3 linked regions of the Notamacropus eugenii genome follow. The protein of the gene in region 1 purifies or fractionates together with the protein of each later gene. This does not show direct contact. Links are inferred from orthologs where the notes say so. Each region holds a gene or a part of one and is shown on either strand. Other genes may lie near its edges.

Region 1 (7,003 bases):
CCACCTAGCTGCCCAAGCCCTCCCTAACCATTTTGTATTTAACTATCTTGTTTTCATCTGTACTATAGTTACTCTGTATATATTTAAATGTGTATTTGATGCTTTCTCCATTTGAACAGAAGATCCTTAAGAGGAGGCAAGGTTTCATTCCTTATATTTGTAACCTTAGTACCTGGTATGTAGAAGGCAGTTAATAAGTGCTTGTTTTTTGATTGTTGATTGAATGAAGAATACTGAGCTCCCCCCCACCCCCAATAGATTTGGAATGTTGTGATATCATTCATAAATACATATGTGCATCAGAGAGGTATAAGCAAAATGTTATTTGACTCAGAAAAGAGTCAAGGTCATCGCTGTGTAGGGAGACCAAGAAGTCTTCTGAGTTGGAAATGCTGAGTTGGAAATTATTTCTTAAAGTCTTCCTCATCACATAGTAAATAACTTTTGGCAGTGGAGAGGGCCATAGAAGAAATTCTACCTGGGTCCCATGATGCTTCACATGGATCACTGATCCCCCATGCTCTGGGGTGATTACAGTCCTGCCTTGGGGTTTGGAGAGATTTTTTTTCAGATGAAGGCAGGGAAAACCAGGTACTTTAGAAGTGGTTCTCCTAGGATTTAGATATAGGCTATATCTGGCTTTTTGTTTCACGTTGAGGTAATAATAGTCTTAGCTAGATTACAAGGATATGTCTATTTATAGCAGTAAGGCATCAGTGGAGATTCATTCATAGAAGCCCAATGAACAGGGCAATTAGAGGGTACTACAGGGATCAACAAACTAAAGCCCACAATTTTACAGAAGAGGAAATTGAGATTCATACCATTCATTTGGCAGATATTTCTTGACTGCCCTGCTCTCTGAGAACTTATTAGCTCATTGGGGAGATAAAAAGAGCTCACGGGAAGTAGTTAACTAAGTACATTAGGCTGGAGGTAAAGTGCTCAAATGAGTTATCCAGACAATAACCTTTAAAACTTGAGAGGAGAGAGGAGGCAGTTTGGTTCTGGAGGGTACTGGATATGAAGCAAAAGGCATCAGGCTTCAATGCTAACTCTCTACCTTACCATTTGAGATGGGGGTGTGGTGGGTGGAGAACTTGCAGCCCCTAGGACAATGTGGCCCTCTAGGTCCTCAAGTGTGGCCCTTTGAGTCCAAGTTTTAAAGAACAAATCCTTTTATTAAGGGGTTTGTTGTGTGAAGTTTGGATTCAATCCAAAGGCCACACTTGGGGACCTAGAGGGTCACATGTCACCTTGAAGCTGCAGATTCCCCAATCCTGCATGAATCAGAGCAAGTCTCTTAATGCTTCTGGATCTAAGCTTTCCCATCTGTATAATAAAGAAGGTTGAAGAACATGATTTCTTCTAACTGTAAATTATATGATTCTAAATAATTGGAGAAAGAGGTAACAGAAAGCAGGCTGCTAGAGTGAGTTTTGGTAACTTTGTTTGATTGCAAAGGTTGAAGATTGTTCATCAGTTACTGAGGCGTAATCCTCCTTGGTTCAACCATCATTTTATTTTCTCATCTCATGAAATACTTTGTTTTATAATCCTAATGCATTAATCATGTAACGGTCTGCATTAGAGTTATTTGTTTCAGTCTTATTCTCCTAGTAGACTATGATCTCCGTGAGGACAAGGATAAAGTTTTATCTAAACTTTGTATATATGTTCTGTACATAGATCTGGAAAAAAAGGCTGGTGATCTGGGCCTTGTCCCAGGGCACTAAATTTGGGGAGTGCTGACACAGAAGCATAGAAACAAGAGAGATTAGCAAGGATAATTAAAATCAGAAGATGCATTATGTCAAGCTACAGCAAGTGTGTACTCTGTTCTGCCCATGTCCTCTGCTATCCCTATGGCCTTCCAGCATGCTACTTGCCCCAGGCCTAGTTTGAGGTATTTGACCTGGGAGCAAAAATTCCCACTTTCTCTCTGAAGACAGTGGGTTTTTTAAAAAACATATCTGTTGCTAAAACTAGTTTTCATATTCTGAATATATTATCAGGGAAATATTAGTGTGTGTTTTTCTCCAGTGAATTTGTGATTTTCCATGAAGCCAAGCCAGATCATCTAGACAAAGAAGATTGGAAGTATATGCACCTCTCTACTTTAGAAATAACCCTCCAAATGCCCCAGTCTCATTAGAATGAACCAGCAATTCAGTTTCCATGGCTAGGCTCTCTCTTCAGGGAATATTGGTCATGAGATAGATTGTTTTCCCACTGAATTGATTTGTTGCCTCACTAAATTGAATCAACTGGTTGTTTGACATCATACAGACATAAGTGGAAGGTGAGGGTCAGGAGCAAAGCAAAGAGTTGCCTTGTGACCACACTGGCTGGAACAACAGTGACCTGCCCTCTGATGTAATCTAACATATTCCCCCAATGATAAATTTTTTAAAAAAGTCTTAAAAGTCATTAAAAAGCTGAAAGTCATAAACTCTTGAAATTGTTTCTTTAAAGCATGTTTGCATTAAGTCTTCTAAAAATCGCACTGTTTGAAGAGTTTTGCTGGTACTTAAAATTTGCCGTTGGTGTTTGTTATATAGGACTTTGGAGAGTTTTATTTTCTCTTTATCTCCATGTAGAATGATGTATTTCCATCTTCTTTTCTTGAATGAAGTATGAGACAGTTAATAATGAGATGATGACAGTTAGTACATCTTGTGATGTTTCTTTGGACCCTGCCAGGCTTAGGGTAAGAGTTGCTAAACAGAGGGGCTGGAGGCAGGGCACGGGTTAGGATCACAAACAAGCATGAATCAATATCTGAGGATCATATATTTCATGAGGCAAGAGAAGGATGTAGCCTTGGGGTCAGGCAGATAGTTCAAAACTGGGAGAACAAGTAGAATTGGGGTTTATGAGATAACAAGACTAACTGGTATTTACTAGACTAATTTTATGCTTTGGTTTGAGAAGCCAGCCCCTGCCCTCTGTCCTCAGCAGCAGTGGTCATCTCTAACCAGTCTTGGCTTAGGCAAAAGGGGAGCTCTGCATTTGCTTTGGCATAATGTTTCTAACCTCATCACTTTGTTCTGAGTAGGGGGGCGGGGACACTTCAATTTTCCTTGCTCTGATTTAGTTAGTTTGAGTACCCTATGGATGAAGAATTCAACTTTTATACCTTAGGAGATGGTCTTTGGGAGTTGGCTATGGTCAAAACTTTTCACACGACTATAATGTAGTAGGCATTTTCTCCTTTTACTCTAGCCTTGTCAGATTTTCATTCAGGAGTATATTGTTCCATAACTGACCTGACCCCAATCCTTTCACCTATGTGAAGATCCATGTATATGTTGAGGAACAGGCAGCTCATTTGAATTCAACCTCTACTATTCTTATACTGTGGCTTTAAACAGCAATCCACTCTGAGCTGAAGTTGCTTCTCTTGTGTGAGTGCTGGCAGGAAGCAAAAAAAATTTTAAAAAAGCAAGCACACAGTTGTGGAACACAAAATCTGTCAGTGTTAGTCCCCTGTCACCGATTCCTCAACCTTGTTATGTTCTGGTTCACCTAAGTGATAAATAGCCCCTTTGTTCTCCTTTTGGTATTAGAAAGAAGGAGAATAAGACCAAGAAGAAAGAATCCGATCTAGATTAAGCAGGGACAGAGACCCATTTCATTGCACAGTACTTTAATATTCCTGAGATCCCTGGCATGACAGGGCTACTTTCTTAGCAGCAGGCTCTCCCTGGAGCAGGGCTGTGTGCTGCCTTTGTTTCATCTGATCTTCTAGCTGAATAAGAGATGGTCATTTATCCTCACTGCTCCTGTATCCTGCTGGATTTCTATTTCTGAAAGAGAAACTGACCAGGAGAAGGAAAAAGGTGGAAGCTGATTTTGGACAGTGTTGTTCAGTGTGTGTTTACAGGCAGGACTGACTTACTCAGCAAATCCTGCACTGATGAGCTCCAGCCAATGAAGTGCTTATATCCCGGCTTGCTTGGGGGCTTCTGAGTTTGAGCTGCATGCAGAAATGTAAGCAGCTCTTCCTGGTGCTGATGGCAAAATGGGGTCCACGGCCAGTTCTTCCTCAGGCTTCCTGGCTTTGCAGATCTGGGAGAGATCCTACATAAACCTATCGGTGATGTAGCCTGCCTGGAAAGCCAAAAGAATCCTCATGGATTCAGGAAACTGGTTTTTGATTTAGAATTATTTTTTTTTTTCTGGAAGATGAAATGCTTTTCTCGTTACCTGCCTTACATCTTCCGACCTCCGAACACCATCCTCTCTTCCAGCTGCCACACAGAAGGTACCGACCAGAGAGGGCGGGTATCTGGGAGGGTGGAAAGCAAGTGGGATGGGTGTATGACTTCCCCCAAAGCTCTGCTGACACTGCCTTTCACAGATTCTAGATGACTGCTGTTCTTGGCAAAAGCTCGCTGGTGACAGACTTCGATTTGCTTGTAAGATCAGCCTGACTGCCTTCTAGATAGAGATTCTTCCCTCAAGGAAAGACTTTTTTAAAAAAAGCATGATTATGTCAAAAAGGTGATTCCTGACATGGATGGGAAAAACATTCTAGAATGTTTCTGCCGGTTCTCATTTGATCACACTTAGCATGCAAACAAGTCATCAAAACTGGTGTCAAGACAGATTTTCACTAGATTCTGCCAGGCACGTTTTCTTAGGCTCTCAAGTTTGTCACTGTCTGTGTAATAACTTGGGGCATGCCCAAGACAGCAATTAGCCAAATAGATTTGGGCTTTTGACGTAACGGTATAGTGCTTGTTGGGCGTTGGAGTTGTTCACTTGGTCTATACTTATGTGGCGCGCTGAAAAGGTCAGAGCCGACTTTCTGCACTTGCTTGAATGCTATTTTCATAGGAACTGAAGTTAATGCTTTTAGAGACCATCATACCTAAACTTTACATTGCTTTGTAATATAGCTAGGTCCAGATTAGTGCAGATAACAAATCCCCTGAAGTGACCGAATTATTTATTATTTATGGCTCTAAGGGAATGTCTCCAAAACTGCTTTCTAGTCTAGCATGGATCTTGTATATATGTGTATACGTAGTGTGTGTGTGTGTGTGTGTGTGTGTACTCTAAACATTTTTTAAAAATCTCCATCTCCTGAGCACTGTAGGTTTCAGCATTCCCATTGTAACTGTTTGTCTACTTGTCTCTTATGCACCACTGGCATCAGATTGGTCTGTTTGTTCTCTTTCTGCTACTCCTGAAAAAAGAAGGATTTTGAGAACTCTCACTAGTGAATCACCTGGCATTCTGTCAGCCAGTATAATCAGTGCCTGGTATAGCTATGGGCTTAGAAGAGAGAGCCCCAAAGAGTCAGTGTGGTCTCAAGAAAAGTAGTGCCAGGACTGAACTGCAAAATCAGTATTTATGGAAAACTTGCAGATGACATTCCTCCCTATTATAAAGGAAGAAGCCTGGGCATAAGGCTGTGTATTTTCAATGGGAGAGGAATGAAATATAAGGGACAGTGCAGCCAAGCTCTTTTCCATCAGAACTTCCAGGGAAATGTCACAGAAGACAGGGATGACTGTTAGCTTGCCAGTGATCTTGACTTTAAAATCTATATGTAAGTATGTGTATATATATATATTTATGTATATATATATATAGAGAGAGAAATATCATTTTATTTTTTAATCTCCTGCTCTCTCTATCATCTTCTTTTGATGGCTAAGAGAAGTAACCCCTCTATAGTAGGGAGACACAACTCATAGGTTGGGTCTGTAAGATTCCCAAAGAAGCAGTCAGCTGTTATATACAATCAGTTTCCACTTCCCATCAACTTTAGTTCTACAATAGTTCTCACATTCCTTCACTTCTGCCTGTTCTGACTATCCTACTCTGATATAGAACTTCTTTCCCACCCTTGTGGGACTAATATAACAAATCTCCTTGCTTCTACTCTCATTTCCCTCCAGTTCATCCTTAATTCCACTAACAGAATAATCTTTCTCATGAACAGATCTAGTCATTCAGTCATTCAACAAACATTTATTAAATACTTGTTTTGTACAAAGTCAGAATAGTCATGATACTCCTTTGCTTAAGACCCTGATATAGCTCTCTATTGACTCTGAAACAAAATTTAGAGTAACCTTTCATTCAATACCCTCTGCAATTAGGTTATCTTATCTTGCCGATCTTTTCTCATGTTACTCCCCTTCACATATTTTAGGCTCAAGCTGAACAGGGTTACTGAAATCTACCTTAATGTGCCACACCCCCATTTTCTCTTGTGCTTTTGCTCGTGTTGTTCCCTGTGTCTGGAATATCCTCATCTTCATCCCTGCCCTGCTATTCTCTACCTGTTGAATTCCTTTAAAGGAATTAAAACCCACCCTTTAAAGTTCAACTCAAATATTACCCCTTCTGTAAAACCTTCCCCAATTCCCTCAATTGGTAATGTCCTTGTCCTCTCAGATCTCTCATAGTGAGTGATCTGTTTGCATCCCTCTTACAATCATATATAATTTTCTATCATGGTAACATATTTGTGCTATACTCCTACTATACTATCCACTCCATGAGGGGAGAGACCATTTTTAATATTTCTTTGTAATATAACTAGGTCTTATAAATTAAAAAATCCCCTGAAGTGGCTGAATTATTCAAATTTGAGCTGCCTGTCTGGAACCAATTATCATGTTTTACAAAATTATGACTTCAAGCAATGTGAATTCGGATAAATGTGATCATATCAGGGGATTATTGTTCACACTAATCGGGACCTAGCTGTACTTCCTAAGTTCATAGATTTACCGTTGAGCCCAGTCAACTCATTTTATAAACGAGGAAAGTGAAGGCAAAAGAGATGAAGTAATTTGTCAGAGATCCTGCAGATAGGAACTGATGGTGCTGGGATTGGGATCTATGTTTACCAATAACAGAGCTGTGAACTTTCCAACAGACCATTCTCCGTGATCTGCTATAGGTATTTAAGAACCGTTTGGATAACTGAGTTGAATTCAATAGGAAAAAAAAATATCCGTCAAACTGATTTTGCATCTTA
Region 2 (7,030 bases), on another chromosome or scaffold:
TAGTCTCTGAATTAAGTTTGAAAAGGACCATCAGCTGAGTCATAGGTTATTAAAGTTTCGATTATGTTTTCAGTCCTTTTTTTACGAGCCATAATCTCATCAGACCTTCACAACAACCCTATATGGCAGGGTAAGGTTTATCATTATCACTTGACAGATGAGGAAACTGAAGTTAAGAGAACTTAAAGTCTCCTTTCTAATAATAATAAAAGTACAAGAAGTGGTGGAGCCACATCTGCGACCCCCAGGGTCTGACAAAGTCTGAGTTTCACTTCATGAGGTAATAACGATTGATGAAACTAAAATAATAACAATAATAATCACTAGCATTTACATAGCACCTTAAAGGTTGCAAAATGCTTTACAAATATTATTTTATCCTCACAACCCTGGGAGGTAGGTGCAATAAAAATAATTGGACTTTTTATTTCCTAGTCACTTCGTTTCATAAGATTTCCAATTGTTCTATAAACACCAGAATCCTGACAAAATAGTACCAAGAACTGATACTAGCATTTATTTACAATATACATTTACAGCCAGGGATAACATTTGTTAGACTGCTTAAACAAAATACTAAGCGCAAGATGTTAGTGCTTTTGTGTACATGGATTGAAGTAATGAGGATGGATCCTAGAATTTCATATCCACTTAGTTTATGTTGCTTGTTTAGATAGGCTGTGCTGAACAAAAAACAACTTGTCTCGTGAATTAAACTTGTTTATAAGGGCTATATTATTTAGAATTGGAGAAGGGAAGAATTTGGTAGTGATATAAAGATTTATAGGTTGCCTCTTAATAAGGTGTTAATATTCAGTGAAACACTTAGCACATCATTGGCACTCTATAAATGTTTAATTGGTAAAGAACAGGAAAGCAATTACTATTTTTTTTAACAAAATGTTTCACAAATAGACTTTGGAAAAGAAGTCAAAATATACTACATATCCAAGAAGCAATTTCTATCTTATCTTCTGAGGCTGTTTGAATAAAGTTCAAGTGACATAATTTCTGGGCAATTGATAATTTTATTAATAATGCTAGCATTTTATTAATAAAACTGGTCAGTGGCACTCTTGAATGCCAAAGATAATCATGGCTGGCTTTGGGCTCACAGTTTATATGCCCTTGGAAGAGAGAGTGTTCCTGAGGGTAGCTATCAATTCTGATTGGTTAACAATTAATGAGAGAATGAATATTACAATGAGAAGTGGGCTTACTCCAATGAGGGGCTTTGAGAATGGCAAAGAGACTACACCTCCATTATGTCAGCTGAGTCCCACAAACACCTAGTGAGATAGATCTTATCATCACTCTGATTTTGCAGAGATGTTAAATGACTTGAGGCAGCTAGGTGGTGTAATGGATCAGAAGACCTGAGTTCAAATCCAGCCTCAGACCCTTACTAGCTGGGTGACCCTGGGCAAGTCATCTTAACCCCTATTTGCTTCAGTTCACCTATAAAGTAGGAATACACAGGAGAAGGAAATGGTACACTAATATCTTTGCCAAGAAAACTCTATAACCTTCGTTCATAGGATCATGTAGAGTCCAACTGTGACTCAACAACAACAAAGAAATCACCTACCCACTGTCAAACAGCTGAGTGGCTCAGCTAAGGTGATTGAGACAGGATTTAAACCCAGCCTGGAGTCCATTATGCAATAATGCTGCCTCCCTTCCCATGGTTTCTGAAACTTTCCTATCTGTCATTCCTTATGGAGCAATAATATTCCATTGCATTCATGTGTGGAATTTGTTCAGCCACCATTCGTTACGTTCTCATTCTGTTGCTTGGACCTACTCAGTTCAGGAATATCATATGGTACTCAATTTTAACTGTTTAGAAAAGTGCTCCTTTACTGAGGGTCACTTTCTTCTTCGAAAACGAAGAAAGAGCAGATATCTGTTAGAAAGAAGCAATCTATGGCACCTTTACAAAGTAACTCAGAGTAGGAAACAGCTTAGACACAACTGTTTATAGGTAGTTTAAAAAGGGAAGTGGAGACTGAAGAAAATGCATGAGTAGTTTAAGAAAGGAAGGAGTTTTGGGTCCTCCTAAAAACCTTGAGCCAGCTCTGTTTTATAAATACAGTTTGAAGAGAAGGAATCCTTCAGTAGCAGAGCAGTTAGCAGGGGAAAGAGGTTAAAAATTGGGAAAGATAGCAATGGAAAAAAGTGATTCAGAAAAGGTGGGTGGGTGGAGGGGGAGAAGACAGGATAAAAAAACTGTCTGGGTTTATTTCCTCTTAAAGCTATTGTTACTTTCCCACAACCCTTGCTCCTTATCATTTTTTAAAATAATATTGGGTCTAAAAGGTTAATTTTCCTCAGAAGGGAAAGAATAATTATTTTTAAATAGTATTCATTTTTTCTCCAAAGATTCTAAAACCATGTATTTAGAACTGAAACTGACCTTTAAAGTCATCTAATCCAAGTCTTCTTCCCCCTCCATTAATTTTAAAGATGAGGAAACAGGTTCAAAGTAATGAATGACTGACCACAAGTCACACAGCATGTAAATCAGGATTTAAATCCAGTACCTGGGGCATCAAATTTAACATTCTCCCTATTGTTATTTTGAGATCTCTATTCATTTCCCACCCAGAAAGCACCCATTTGGAATTCCTTTGACTTTTCCAGTTTACCTACACCGCCCTTCCTGCTCCTCGCTAGACTGTAAACTTCTTGAGGGCAGATTGCATCTTTCTTTTTCAAATACCGTATTCCCAGGATGAAGCGCCGTGCAGGGTACATGTTTATTGACTATTAAAACACAAGGACTATCTCAATTCAATTCTGGACAATTCTGTGTATAGAGTAGTTATCACTGTGTCTTATTAATAGGATCCCTGCATTAGAGCCAGTAGAGATTACCCTGGAGGTCATCTAACACAATCCCTCCATTTTACAGATGTGGATGCGTCCAATTTACACCCTTACTAGAACCGCAAAGAAGAATCCAATAACGACGTATCTTGTTTTATTAAATATGTCATGGGCATGTGGAGGCAGAGGAATTGGATTCGAATTCTAGCTTTATGGATTACTACCTGTGACTCTTCAAGTGCTAAACCTTAGGAGCTCTATGTGTGTTCCTGAAACGTTTCCTGTAAAGAAAAATCTTAAAATTATATTTTGTATGCACTTTGAGGAGAAGCTATTTGAAGAGAAACCGTGGGGATATGTTTTTGGAAAGAAAGCAAACGGCTCCTTAATTTAAATGTTTTCTAAGTCTGGATTTTTGGTATTTTGGCTTTTCTTAAACAAAGGCAGATCTATATCTTGAAAAGACATCGTATTGTGTTTCAAACAGTTCAAAACACTTCCATTCATGTATTTACTTAACACCTTCCCCAACTATATACATATATATATATGCACACACTATCTATCTATCTATCCGTCTATCTATATACACACACACACGTATATGGAAGCTATTTAAATAGCTCCGTTTTTTTAAAAGTAAGATTAAGTGTGCTGAATGGATGTGCCTCCAGGCACCTCCAAACCAAGCTGGAGGACAGCTCCCCGGCACCTCGGGAGATCTCCCGCCGGGAGGATTCCGGGCTGGGGGCCGCAGGGCCTCGCCCCGCCGGGGGCTCCGCCGCCCGGCCACACGGGCTGCGGACCGAGGACCAGCACAACTAGCAGGCGGCGCCGCCGGCAGCCCCGCAGGAGAAGCCCCCCGAAGCCGCGTTCGTCCCCTGGCTGCCGGGGCGGGCCCTCGCGGGGCACGCGGCGTCTGCAGCCGGAGCAGCGCTGGAGGCCGGCAGGTGAGGGGCCCGTTAACAGCCCGTGCGGTCGGGTTCCCACGCCTCAGCCCGGCTACGAAACCTCCTTAGCCAAGTCTCTTAAAGTGGAGGCGGGGCCGGGGGGGAGGGGAAAAGGGTGGAGGGAGAGGGAAAGGGCGTGTGTCCGCGTACCGTGGGGGGAGGGGCGCGGTCGGGAAGCGATCCTGGCTCTTCCTTTAGAGTGGGAAAGGACCTCCGAGGCTCTGGCGCCTGCTCCCTCCTGTACGGACGGGGAAACTGAGGTCCAGGGAGGCTTAAGCGACTGCCGGGGAGCCAGGATCCGAGCCCGGGCTTCTCGGCCTCCGACGCTCTTTTTACCGGCCCCGGAGCTCCCTCTGAAGGGCACTCACTCGCCGCTGGGGTGTCTCTGGGGTGGGGGATGGGGAGTCGGGGTGGCCGCGGCCGGGGAGCCACCGTTAGGAGGGCCAGCTTCGGCTTCGGGAATCCAGCCGTGTCCAGTACGCACCTGAACGCCCTGCCCACCGCACGAACAGCCGAACAAAGGGCTTTCCCCCGCCTCCTCCGGGAACGCCCGAGCGCCCCGAGAGGTGACACCTCGGGGACTTGGCCGGCTCGTTCCCCTCCCCCCTCGAGCACCGCTTCCTCTTCCTCGCTGTTTCCCCCTTTAAGAGAGGGCTCCGCGGGACTAACGTTCGAATCTGCCCTGTCTCCGGCCCGCGGCCTCTGATTGGCTGAGAGGGGCGCACGAGGGAGCGCGAGCTCTCCCCGAACCGGTCGGAACGGTCGCTAGTCTCTCCTGATTGGCTGGCGTGAGAGGACTATATAAAGCCGCCGGGTCGCCCGTCTCCGCTCAGTTAGCGGCGGGACTGGTTGCCAAGCTCCCGTGTGCTCCGTCGCGGCCGTGAGAAAGGGGTCAGAGCTCGCGTCGCCGTGGTCCCGGTTGTTTGTTCGCTCGCTTTGGGCCGAGGGAGGAGCTGACGCGTCTCCGCCTCCGGCCCCACACCCTGCCCGCGGACGGGACGAGGGGGTAGCCGCCCGTGAATCGGCCGCCCTCGAGCTGCGGAGGCGCCTGAGCGAGGGACGATGGAGTTCAAGCTGGAAGCTCACCGCATCGTCAGCATCTCCCTGGGCAAGATCTACAACTCGAGGGTTCAGCGCGGCGGCATCAAGCTCCACAAGAACCTGCTGGTGTCGTTGGTACTTCGCAGCGCCCGCCAGGTCTACCTGAGCGACCCCTGCCTGGGCGGCCCCGGGCCGGGCGCGCTCGCGCCGCCGCCGCCGCAGCTTCCCGGGGGGCCGGCCCCGGGCTGGGGAGAGCCGCTCCCCAGGGACAGCAGCATGGAGCAGGACCCGGAGCCCGCCCCCGAGCCCCTCGGGGAGCGCCCGCCCGAGGGGTCGCCGCCGCCCCGAGCCGAGGCGGGGCCCGAAGCCCCGAGGCGCCGCGTGGAGGAGGCGGAGAGCGGCGGCGGCGGGGAAGGCGTCCCGGAGGGGCCGCCGCGGGCGCGGCTCTGCTGCTGCCGCCGCCTCCCCGGCTCCTCGCGCGGCGCCCCGCGGGCCGACTGCTCCTGCCACCCGCGCCCGGACGAGGGGGCCCCGCCACCGCCCGTCTGCCCCCGGAAAAGGAGCGCCTCGGGGGCGGGGGGCGGCCCCGGGGGGTGCTTGGCTTCGGGCGGCTCGCCCGTGAAGAAACCCCGCAGGGACTCGGAGGAACAGCCGGGCGAGGAGGAGGAGATGGAGACCGGTAACGTGGCCAGCCTCATCACCATCTTCGGGTCCAGCTTCTCCGGACTCTTGCGCAAAAGCCCCGGGGGCGGCCGGGAGGACGAGGACGGCGAGGAGGAGGAGCAGCAGCCGCCGCGCGGTCCGGAAGCGGCGGAGCCCGGGCCCATGTACTGCGACAAGCCGGTGTTAAGAAACCTCAACCCCTGGAGCACTGCCATCGTGGCCTTCTGATCGCCCGGGGCCCGGGCGGGGGCGGGGGCGCCCGGGGAGAGACTGAGGCGGTGCCGCCCCGAGCCGGGCCCCGCCCCCGGCCCGCCGCCCCGCCCCCTCGGAGCCGGCTGGGCAGCGGGACCTGCCCGGGGGCGAGCCGCGAGCGGACTGTGCCCGCGCCGCCGGGCCCCTGGGCGCCGGGGGGGCTTGTGTTATAAAGTGTTTTTGTAAGTTGATTGTTGAAGTAAGGCTTTCTTGTCACCGGGATTCCGGGCTGGGGCTCGAGACGCTGGGGGCGGGCGGGGGCGGCGCGGAGCCGGGACTTTCCTGCAGGGGCGGCGAGGAGGAAGCAGCGCGGCCGGGCCGGGAGCTGGGGGAAGGGACTCGGCGAGCCCCCCCACGACCGGCCCCGCGCGGGCCTCGTGGGCGCCCTGCGCAGCCCGGAGCGCGGTCCTGGGGGGAGGGACAATTCTTGTTGACAGACTCTGAGGTCTCCCCCCTTCAGAAAGCTTGGTGAGCTTCCTAGAAGAGATCAAGCTTGAAATACTGAGTTTATAAGGAAATATATATATAAACATATATATATTTTAAAAGCTCTAGGTCAGAATTATTACACAGTGCTTTTAAAAAGTGTTTAATGAAAAAGTTTACAGATGCCCTAATGGAAAGGCCTCGTGGCTTTAGTAGATGTGATTACTCCCGTCTTTGTTGTATAAAGGCTGGGGGCTTGTAGAGTTTTTGTACAGTATTTTCTTCGTGTATTGACATTTTTTTTGTATAAAATGTAACTTTACGTGTCTGACACGTATTAAATATTTTGAAGCAACCTCACTGTCTCCTTTTCTGTAATCACCCGCTTGGGATTGGGAGGAGCGAGAAAAGGACCGTGGTCCCACCGACCAGGGTGATATTGTTGAAATAAAATATATTTACGGCCGAGTACGGAATAGACCAAACTGGGGCAGCTATTCAATAGATGAGAAACACCAACGTATGATTCCAGGTTGGAATCATATTCTTTGAAGTTTCCTGTAACCCAGTCTGAAGGGGGTATGGCGGTCCTTTGCCTGTAGGATTTCCCATGAGCACTGTTTTATCCTTTCCACTAAAATGTCTTTACCAGTACTTTGAAGTAGAATAAATAGGTTTATGGAAAAACTACACAGCCAGTTGTAATGTAGCTCCTGAGAATTAGTTGACAATCTGTTGCCATGTCTAAATTAACTTAAAAAAATTTGTGTTTAGCCGTGCCAGTGTTGGAACCTTTTCAGTTCATGAGACAATTGACATCTTTCCTGTCTTGGGAATGTGAGGAAGGTCACTCAGAAGTTTACCTACCT
Region 3 (7,133 bases), on another chromosome or scaffold:
GACCTGCGAATGCCAGGGCCCTCCCTCCCTAGTGCATCACATTTAACCACCTTTATTTGTTAAATAATAATAAGATTTATGTATTACTTGCAAAGAGCTGAACATTCATGACCTCATTTGATCCTCTGTGCAAACAAAGTGGCTTCCAGGGTCACGTGGGTAATATGTATCAGAGGCTAGATTGGAACTTGGGGCTTCCTAGCTTTGAAGACAGCTTTCTGTCCCCTGTACTCTGCTGCCTCTATACCTCCACCATAGGTTGTGAATAAGTCATTTTGGAGCATTATGCAGATTTGGTCATGGATGAAGGCAGCTCACTCCCTGCTTTGATTGGCCAAAAGAATCACACATACCTGTCAGCCTATGTATAAAAACAGTGGTCTTTCTATTGGGGGACCAAGCTAGCAGTGGTAGGCTCTAAGTTCAGGAACTAAGAATTCCATCTTGAGAGTTGGAGCTAAGTCCAACTGAAAGGGAATTGCTATTGGAAAGGGGGGAGGGGGCAAAGTTTCTCTCTTGTCTCTTCCAATTGACCATGTCATCAGAAAGATTGGACCAATAACATCAACTATCTCTAGCTGAGATTGAAGAGATGACCTGAAATCAGTAGGAAACAACACTTCCCAAAGAAGGAAGGACAGATGGATGTGGAAAGACCGAAGAGGCTGGCTGTGAACTTAAGAAAGGACTTTGGGGCCACAGAGCACAAGAAGGATGAATTAATTGTGACTACCCTTGTAGTCTAAGTTTGAGTCCATCCTTCTTATGGCCTTGTATGTATTTGTGGGAGAGGGTACCCCAGGTTTTTGGAGGTGGGGACTATATTTTGCCAGCCTTTCTTACTAAACTCTGAGTAAATACATTTTCTAAAAGCTAATTAAGTCTGTTGGCCAATTGTTAAAAGGAAGCACCCCACCAGGGGCTCGTGAGTGGCACTGTTAGAAGGATAGCCCCTTGGGGTTACTCTTAGATCCTTAAGAGAAGTAGTGGCCAGTCTCATGCCTTCTAATCCGTTTAATTCATTTCAACTCAAATATTTTTTGAAGCACCTACTGTGTGTCAGTTTGACAAGAAATCCTCATGGACAGCATTGGTGTACTAGGGTCCTCGGAGTGAGGAAGAATCCAACACGACTGAACAACAACAGTGTGTCAGGAGTTGTCCCAGACTAGAGATTTGAAGATAAAAATGCAATGGTCTCTGCCATAAAGAAACTTACATTCTACAGGGGAAAGCTTAGACAGTACACAGGTAAGATTAGATAGATATGTACACCTATGTGTGTATATGCACATATGTACAATGAAAAGTAACATTGGGGTGAGAGCACTGGCATCTCTTCCCAGAAGTACAAGGAAGGACTCCTATGGGAGGTAGCCCCTGAGATGAGCTTTGAAATTGACTCAGAATTGTGGGAAGTGTCAGATTTCTTGATGTGCATAGAACGTCTTGTGCAAAGATATGGAGGGAAGGCATTGGTTGGCGTGTAGGGGAAACAGCAAGCAACACGATTTGGCTTGAGCAGAGTTCGTATGGGGGAATAATGGGTGATCAGTCTAGAAAGAAAGCCTAGGCAGTTTTCAGAAAAAAAAATCCAAGCTATTTATAGCCATGTGAAAGAAGGCTCTAAATCATGAATAACTGGAGAAATATAAATTAAAACAACTCTAAGGTTCTACCTCTTACCTTCCAGACTGACAAAGTAACAAATAAAGGAAAATAAATGCTGGAGGGGCTGTGAGAAAACAGGTACATTGATGCATGTTGGAGCTGTGACATGAGCAAGTCATTTTGGAAAACCATTTGGAATTATGGCCCCAAAGCTACTAAACTGTGCCTGCTGCCCTCTGTAAACCCAGAAAGACATCAAGGAAAGAGGAAAAGGACCCCTAGGTACTAACAGTTTGTATATAGCACCTCTTCTTGCGATGGCAAAGAAGTGAATATCTATCTGTTGGGGAACAGCAGACAAGTTATGCTGTATAAATATAATGGAATGCCTCTTTACCTAAGAAGTTATGAAGACAGTTCCAGACACATGGGAAGTCCTTTGGTCTTAAATGAACCGATGCATAGGGAAATCCGTAGAACCAGGAGAAAAATGCAGACAATGACATCAAACCACTTGGAAAACCTCAGATGAACCCAAGGACCAACCATCACTGCAAAGGCTCATGGGTGGCACCTTGGATCTGCTCTAGCTCCCCTATCTCTTCCTTCTTTGTGGTCAGCAGGGACTGGAGGGAGGGGCTGGCAGGGTCGGGGACTGCGGAGGCTGGGTCACAGGGACCCCTTGAAGGTCTTTGGGCAATGCTTCCTCCAGTCTCCTGGAGGGTTCTTGGGCTAGGACTATCTAGCCGCTGCTTCTCAAATCCTTCTGACCTAGGGACATGATAAGTCGAAATGAAAGCCACTTCCCGGAGAAGTAGTCCATGGCTGGACTTCCGTAACCAAGTCTGCTTACGCAGAAGACCTCGGGAGAGCTGGGTAGTGACCGTTTATCGAAGCAAAAGTCAGTCTAGGGACTCTAGATGCTGCCTTTTCTCTCAGTTGGTAAGACTTAGAGGCAGCTAGATCTTGGAGTCAGGAAAAGTCGGTTTAAATATAGCCTAGAAAAAACCCACTTAATCTTCCTGCCTCAGTTTCCTCATCTGTAAAATGAGGCTGACAGCGCCTGCCTCCAGGGTGACAGAGGCTGCTTAGTATCATCTGCAGACCTCACAGCGTGATACAAAGTTACAATGCGCTGTTACTTTTTAAACAGCTCCCCGACAGCTCCCAGGGCGTCCGTGTGCCCACGCGAGCCTGGTCTCGCCCCTACTGCGCCCCCGGAGAGCTGCCTTGTGGGCGCTTCACCGTGACGCCGGCTCCAATCCTGCAGCGAGGGCAGAAACCCTCGGCGTGTTAAACGTCTACACGCGCTCTGGGTCGGAGGAGCCGCTCTCGGGCGGGATGTGCCGCCGCGTGTTTCCTCCCACGGACCCACGGACCAGACGCGCCTCTCCGCTCCCGAGACCTAGCGGAAGCGCCAGGCTGCGAGAACGGGCACACGAACGCCAGCTTTCCGTGCCCATCTCTACAGCAAACCGAACAAAGCGGAGGGCTCGGACACGGAGTCCGCGCCCTGCCTCCGGAGCCTTCGCCTTTCCGCTTCTCTGTCCAAGGCCGGGCCCCAAGCCGGGGCATCGGGAGAAGCGCAGTCCGGGGCAGGGGGGCGTGGCACCCGGGCCGACCTCCCGGAGCATCTGCGGCTACCTCGGACAGCTCCGGAGAGCGCCCCTGGCGGCAGGCGGCAGTGACCGCGGCTATTGGGGGAGAGACAGAGCGGGGGGCGGGCCCGGAGAACCCGAACCACGCCGATCGGCCCGCCCCTCCTGCGCAGGCCCAGACCCGAGGAGCGGGGTCCCGCGCTCGGAGCGGGACGCGCAGGGTGGGAGAGGGCCTTGGAGTGACTGACGTCAAGGGGCGGCGCCGCGGCGCAAGTCACGCAGTGACGCAGGGGGTCAGCGCCGCGCCGCGCCGTCACCGCCTCCTCCCGCTCCTCCTCCTCCTCCTCCCGGCCGCGTGGTGGTGCTGTGGCCAGCGGTACCGGCTCGTGCTCCCTCCGCCTGCCTTCCCCCTCCCGCCGCTCGCGTGCGGCCCCCTCCCTCGTCTCCTTCCGGCGGAAGTGCCCCGCGGTGACGGGCCCCGACGGGCAGGGAGCGTGAGGAGGGCTGCGGGAGAGGGCGGAGTCGGCCCGGGCGGGCCGTAGGGAGGCAGGCAGGCAGGCAGGCAGGCGGGCCGGTCAGTGGCGCCCCGCCTCCAGCTCGGCCCCGCCCCCAGCTCGGCCCCGCCCCCAGCTCGGCCCCGCCCGTGGGCCCTGGGAGCGGCTGTGCGCGCCGCGGAGGGGGCGGGGCGGCGCGCGCGCGCAGGAGGGGTTGGTGGCCGGCGGGCACGCCCCCGCGCCTCCGTGCGCGGCCCCGTCGCCGCGTCTCTCGCCCGGGCACGCCTGCGCGCCCGCGCCGTCCCGGCTCGCGCCCCCCCTAAGGGCGGGGCGGGGGCGGGGCTCGCGTGGCGTGGCGGGGCTCGACGGCGGGCGGGACCGGCGCCGGGGCGGGGCGGGGGCGGGGCCAGGGCCCGGGCCCGGCGGGGTCCAGCACGAGCCCCCTTGGCCGCCGCCGCCGCAGCCGCCGCCGCCGCTGCCGCCGCCGCCGCTGCCGCCATCATGGAGGACAAGGTGTTCACGAAGGAGCTGGACCAGTGGGTGGAGCAGCTGAACGAGTGCAAGCAGCTGAACGAGAACCAAGTGCGCACGCTCTGTGAGAAGGTGCGGCCGGGCGGGGGAGGGGCGGCCCGAACGAGGAGGGGGAGGGGGAGGGGCGGCCCGGAGGCGGAGGGGGAGGGGCGGCCCGGAGGAGGAGGGGGAGGGGGAGGGGCGGCCCGGAGGAGGAGGGGGAGGGGGAGGGGCGGCCCGGAGGGGAAGGGGGAGGGGGAGGGGCGGCCGGAGGGGGAGGGGGAGGGGGAGGGGAGGCCCGGAGGGGAAGGGGGAGGGGCGGCCCGGAGGAGGAGGGGGAGGGGGAGGGGCGGCCCGGAGGAGGAGGGGGAGGGGGAGGGGCGGCCCGGAGGAGGAGGGGGAGGGGGAGGGGCGGCCCGGAGGGGGAGGGGGAGGGGGAGGGGAGGCCCGGAGGGGGAGGGGGAGGGGGAGGGGAGGCCGGGAGAGGGGGGAGGGGCGGCCCGGAGGAGGAGGGGGAGGGGGAGGGGGAGGGGCGGCCCGGAGGGGGAGGGGGAGGGGGAGGGGAGGCCGGGAGAGGGGGGAGGGGGAGGGGCCGCCCGAAGGAGGAGGGGGAGGGGGAGGGGCGGGGCGGCGCCGTTCTCTCGGGGCCTTCTCTCCCCCCTCCCCGTGTGGGGATGCCCTCCTTGGCGTTGCTTGGCCCCAGCGAGTTGTTTATGTGCGGTCTCCGTCCACGTCACGGCAGCCTTCCCGGATCCCCGCAGCGTCCCTCTGCCTCGCAGAGTGGCTCCTGGCCCGGACCGCTCTGGCTTCTCGGCGGTGTCCAGTGTGACCCCCAAACCGGCCTCCCCGCCCCCTCCGGGTCAGTTGTGGACCCTCGGTGCCCGCCGTCTCCCCCAGACTGGCCACTGGGGCCTCAGTGTTTGCTGAGTGAATGAGTGATCTCGCGGAGCCGCTGGAGGTTTGGAGCAGCCTGGGCACGGGTCCGAGAGCTGCTTGAGGAAGGGTCCCCTGCGCCCGGATGAGCGCCGGGGTCTGTGGGGAGGAGGCCTGTGACCTAGAGTGCCCGGAGCCCAGGTGAGGGCGGGGCGGCTTTGGGGCGAGGAGTGCGTGTGCTGTCAGCCCCGTGCGTGGCCTGGCCTGGTCTTAGGTCTTAGCCCCGTGCGTGGCCTGGTCTTAGGTCTCAGATCCGTGGGTGGCCTGGCCTGGTCTTAGGTCTCAGACCCGTGGGTGGCCTGGCCTGGTCTTAGGTCTCAGACCCGTGCGTGGCCTGGCCTGGTCTTAGGTCTCAGACCCGTGGGTGGCCTGGCCTGGTCTTAGGTCTCAGACCCGTGCGTGGCCTGGCCTGGTCTTAGGTCTCAGACCCGTGGGTGGCCTGGCCTGGTCTTAGGTCTCAGACCCGTGCATGGCCTGGCCTGGTCTCAGACCCATGGGTGGCCTGGCCTTAGGTCTCAGACCCATGCGTGGCCTGGTCTCAGACCCATGGGTGGCCTGGTCTCAGACCCGTGGGTGGCCTGGTCTTAGGTCTCAGACCCGTGCATGGCCTGGTCTGGTCTTAGGTCTCAGACCCGTGCGTGGCCTGGTCTCAGACCCGTGCGTGGCCTGGCCTGGTCTTAGGTCTCAGACCCGTGCATGGCCTGGCCTGGTCTCAGACCCGTGCGTGGCCTGGTCTTAGGTCTCAGACCCGTGCGTGGCCTGGCCTGGTCTCAGACCCGTGCGTGGCCTGGCCTGGTCTCAGACCCGTGCGTGGCCTGGTCTTAGGTCTCAGACCCATGGGTGGCCTGGCCTGGTCTTAGGTCTCAGACCCGTGCGTGGCCTGGTCTTAGGTCTCAGACCCATGGGTGGCCTGGCCTGGTCTTAGGTCTCAGACCCGTGCGTGGCCTGGCCTGGTCTCAGACCCGTGCGTGGCCTGGCCTTAGGTCTCAGACCCATGGGTGGCCTGGTCTCAGACCCGTGGGTCACCTGGCCAGTGGCACTCCCAGGCACCGAAGGAACGGAAGGTCTGGGTTCCCGTCTGGGCTGGTGGTGACTCAGGGACCTTTCCTGGGTCCGGAGTCAGTGAGGAGCACCCCCTGGCTCAGTCCGACCTCCCCTCCCTGCCCCCTCCACGCCGCTTCTTCACGTTTTCCCCTTTCAGTTCCATGTCAGTAGTGTCAGCCTAGCCTGTGAGCCATGCTGAGGGCTCCCTGTAGCCTGACTGGTACTGAGGCCTGAGGCTGACTCCGGCTTTGTGTGCTGTCCTTCACGTCAGTGAGGTTCAATGTTGGGAGGGGTTTTTAACCAGTTCTCTTACCCTTAAACGTACATGGTCAGCTGAGACAAGCAGCTCTGAGACCTTTCTCCCACTGCTGATGGATGCTGGGGTGGCCGTCAGTGGACAGAATGTTTGTTGAACTTTTTAGGCAGATTGTGTGACTTTGGCTTCTCTAATAACCCTCTAATCCTCTTCCTTGATGCCAGCCGCAAGCGGGCTCTGTCTTATACCAGGAACAGTGCAGCCACCCAGAGGAGGATAATCCAAGAAGCTCTCCGCTCCCGTGGCTTGCCTGGGACTGTGCCAGTAGTGGCAGCAATACTAGCTCTCAGGAGGGTGCCAGAATGAAAGTCAGTCTGTCCTTCAGGCCAGCACTGGCAGCAGTGAGGCTACCCTGAGCAGGGGTGTAGCCAGGTAGCCCTGATTTGGCCTGGATTGTTTAGGATGATGACCTGTGGGTGTACCTAGAGGTGGCCTGTCCATCGTAGGATCTTCATTCTCCCTGTCACTAGCCATTACTACCTTGGGATGGACGTCTTGGACAGAGTGGTCTGACATCTCTAATTTAACAGAATTGATATTCCTTTGAGACCTGCTTGCTCTGAACTTCTAGTTCGTTTCCACAGACTTTCTTCAGCTGGGACAGGGCCAGACATCATCTTCCTTCCC

Evidence for each region.
Region 2: the proteins of PPP2R2B (region 1) and IER5 purify together in Homo sapiens (affinity purification with mass spectrometry; 4 studies listed by BioGRID and IntAct, with this or other methods). This does not show direct contact. The link is inferred for Notamacropus eugenii from reciprocal best matches to the Homo sapiens genes PPP2R2B and IER5.
Region 3: the proteins of PPP2R2B (region 1) and PPP2CB purify together in Homo sapiens (affinity purification with mass spectrometry; 5 studies listed by BioGRID and IntAct, with this or other methods). This does not show direct contact. The link is inferred for Notamacropus eugenii from reciprocal best matches to the Homo sapiens genes PPP2R2B and PPP2CB.

The regions. Positions count from the first base shown.
Region 1 is NC_092872.1:376,146,290-376,153,292, reverse strand, and holds the start of PPP2R2B (serine/threonine-protein phosphatase 2A 55 kDa regulatory subunit B beta isoform), read left to right. Parts: upstream 1-3,979; 5' UTR 3,980-4,188; coding exon 4,189-4,267; intron 4,268-7,003. UniProt on the Homo sapiens protein: The B regulatory subunit might modulate substrate selectivity and catalytic activity, and might also direct the localization of the catalytic enzyme to a particular subcellular compartment.
Region 2 is NC_092873.1:464,456,376-464,463,405, reverse strand, and holds IER5 (immediate early response gene 5 protein), read left to right. Parts: upstream 1-4,532; 5' UTR 4,533-4,841; coding exon 4,842-5,711; 3' UTR 5,712-6,516; downstream 6,517-7,030. UniProt on the Homo sapiens protein: Plays a role as a transcription factor. Mediates positive transcriptional regulation of several chaperone genes during the heat shock response in a HSF1-dependent manner. Mediates negative transcriptional regulation of CDC25B expression.
Region 3 is NC_092878.1:167,231,743-167,238,875, forward strand, and holds the start of PPP2CB (serine/threonine-protein phosphatase 2A catalytic subunit beta isoform), read left to right. Parts: upstream 1-4,119; 5' UTR 4,120-4,204; coding exon 4,205-4,306; intron 4,307-7,133.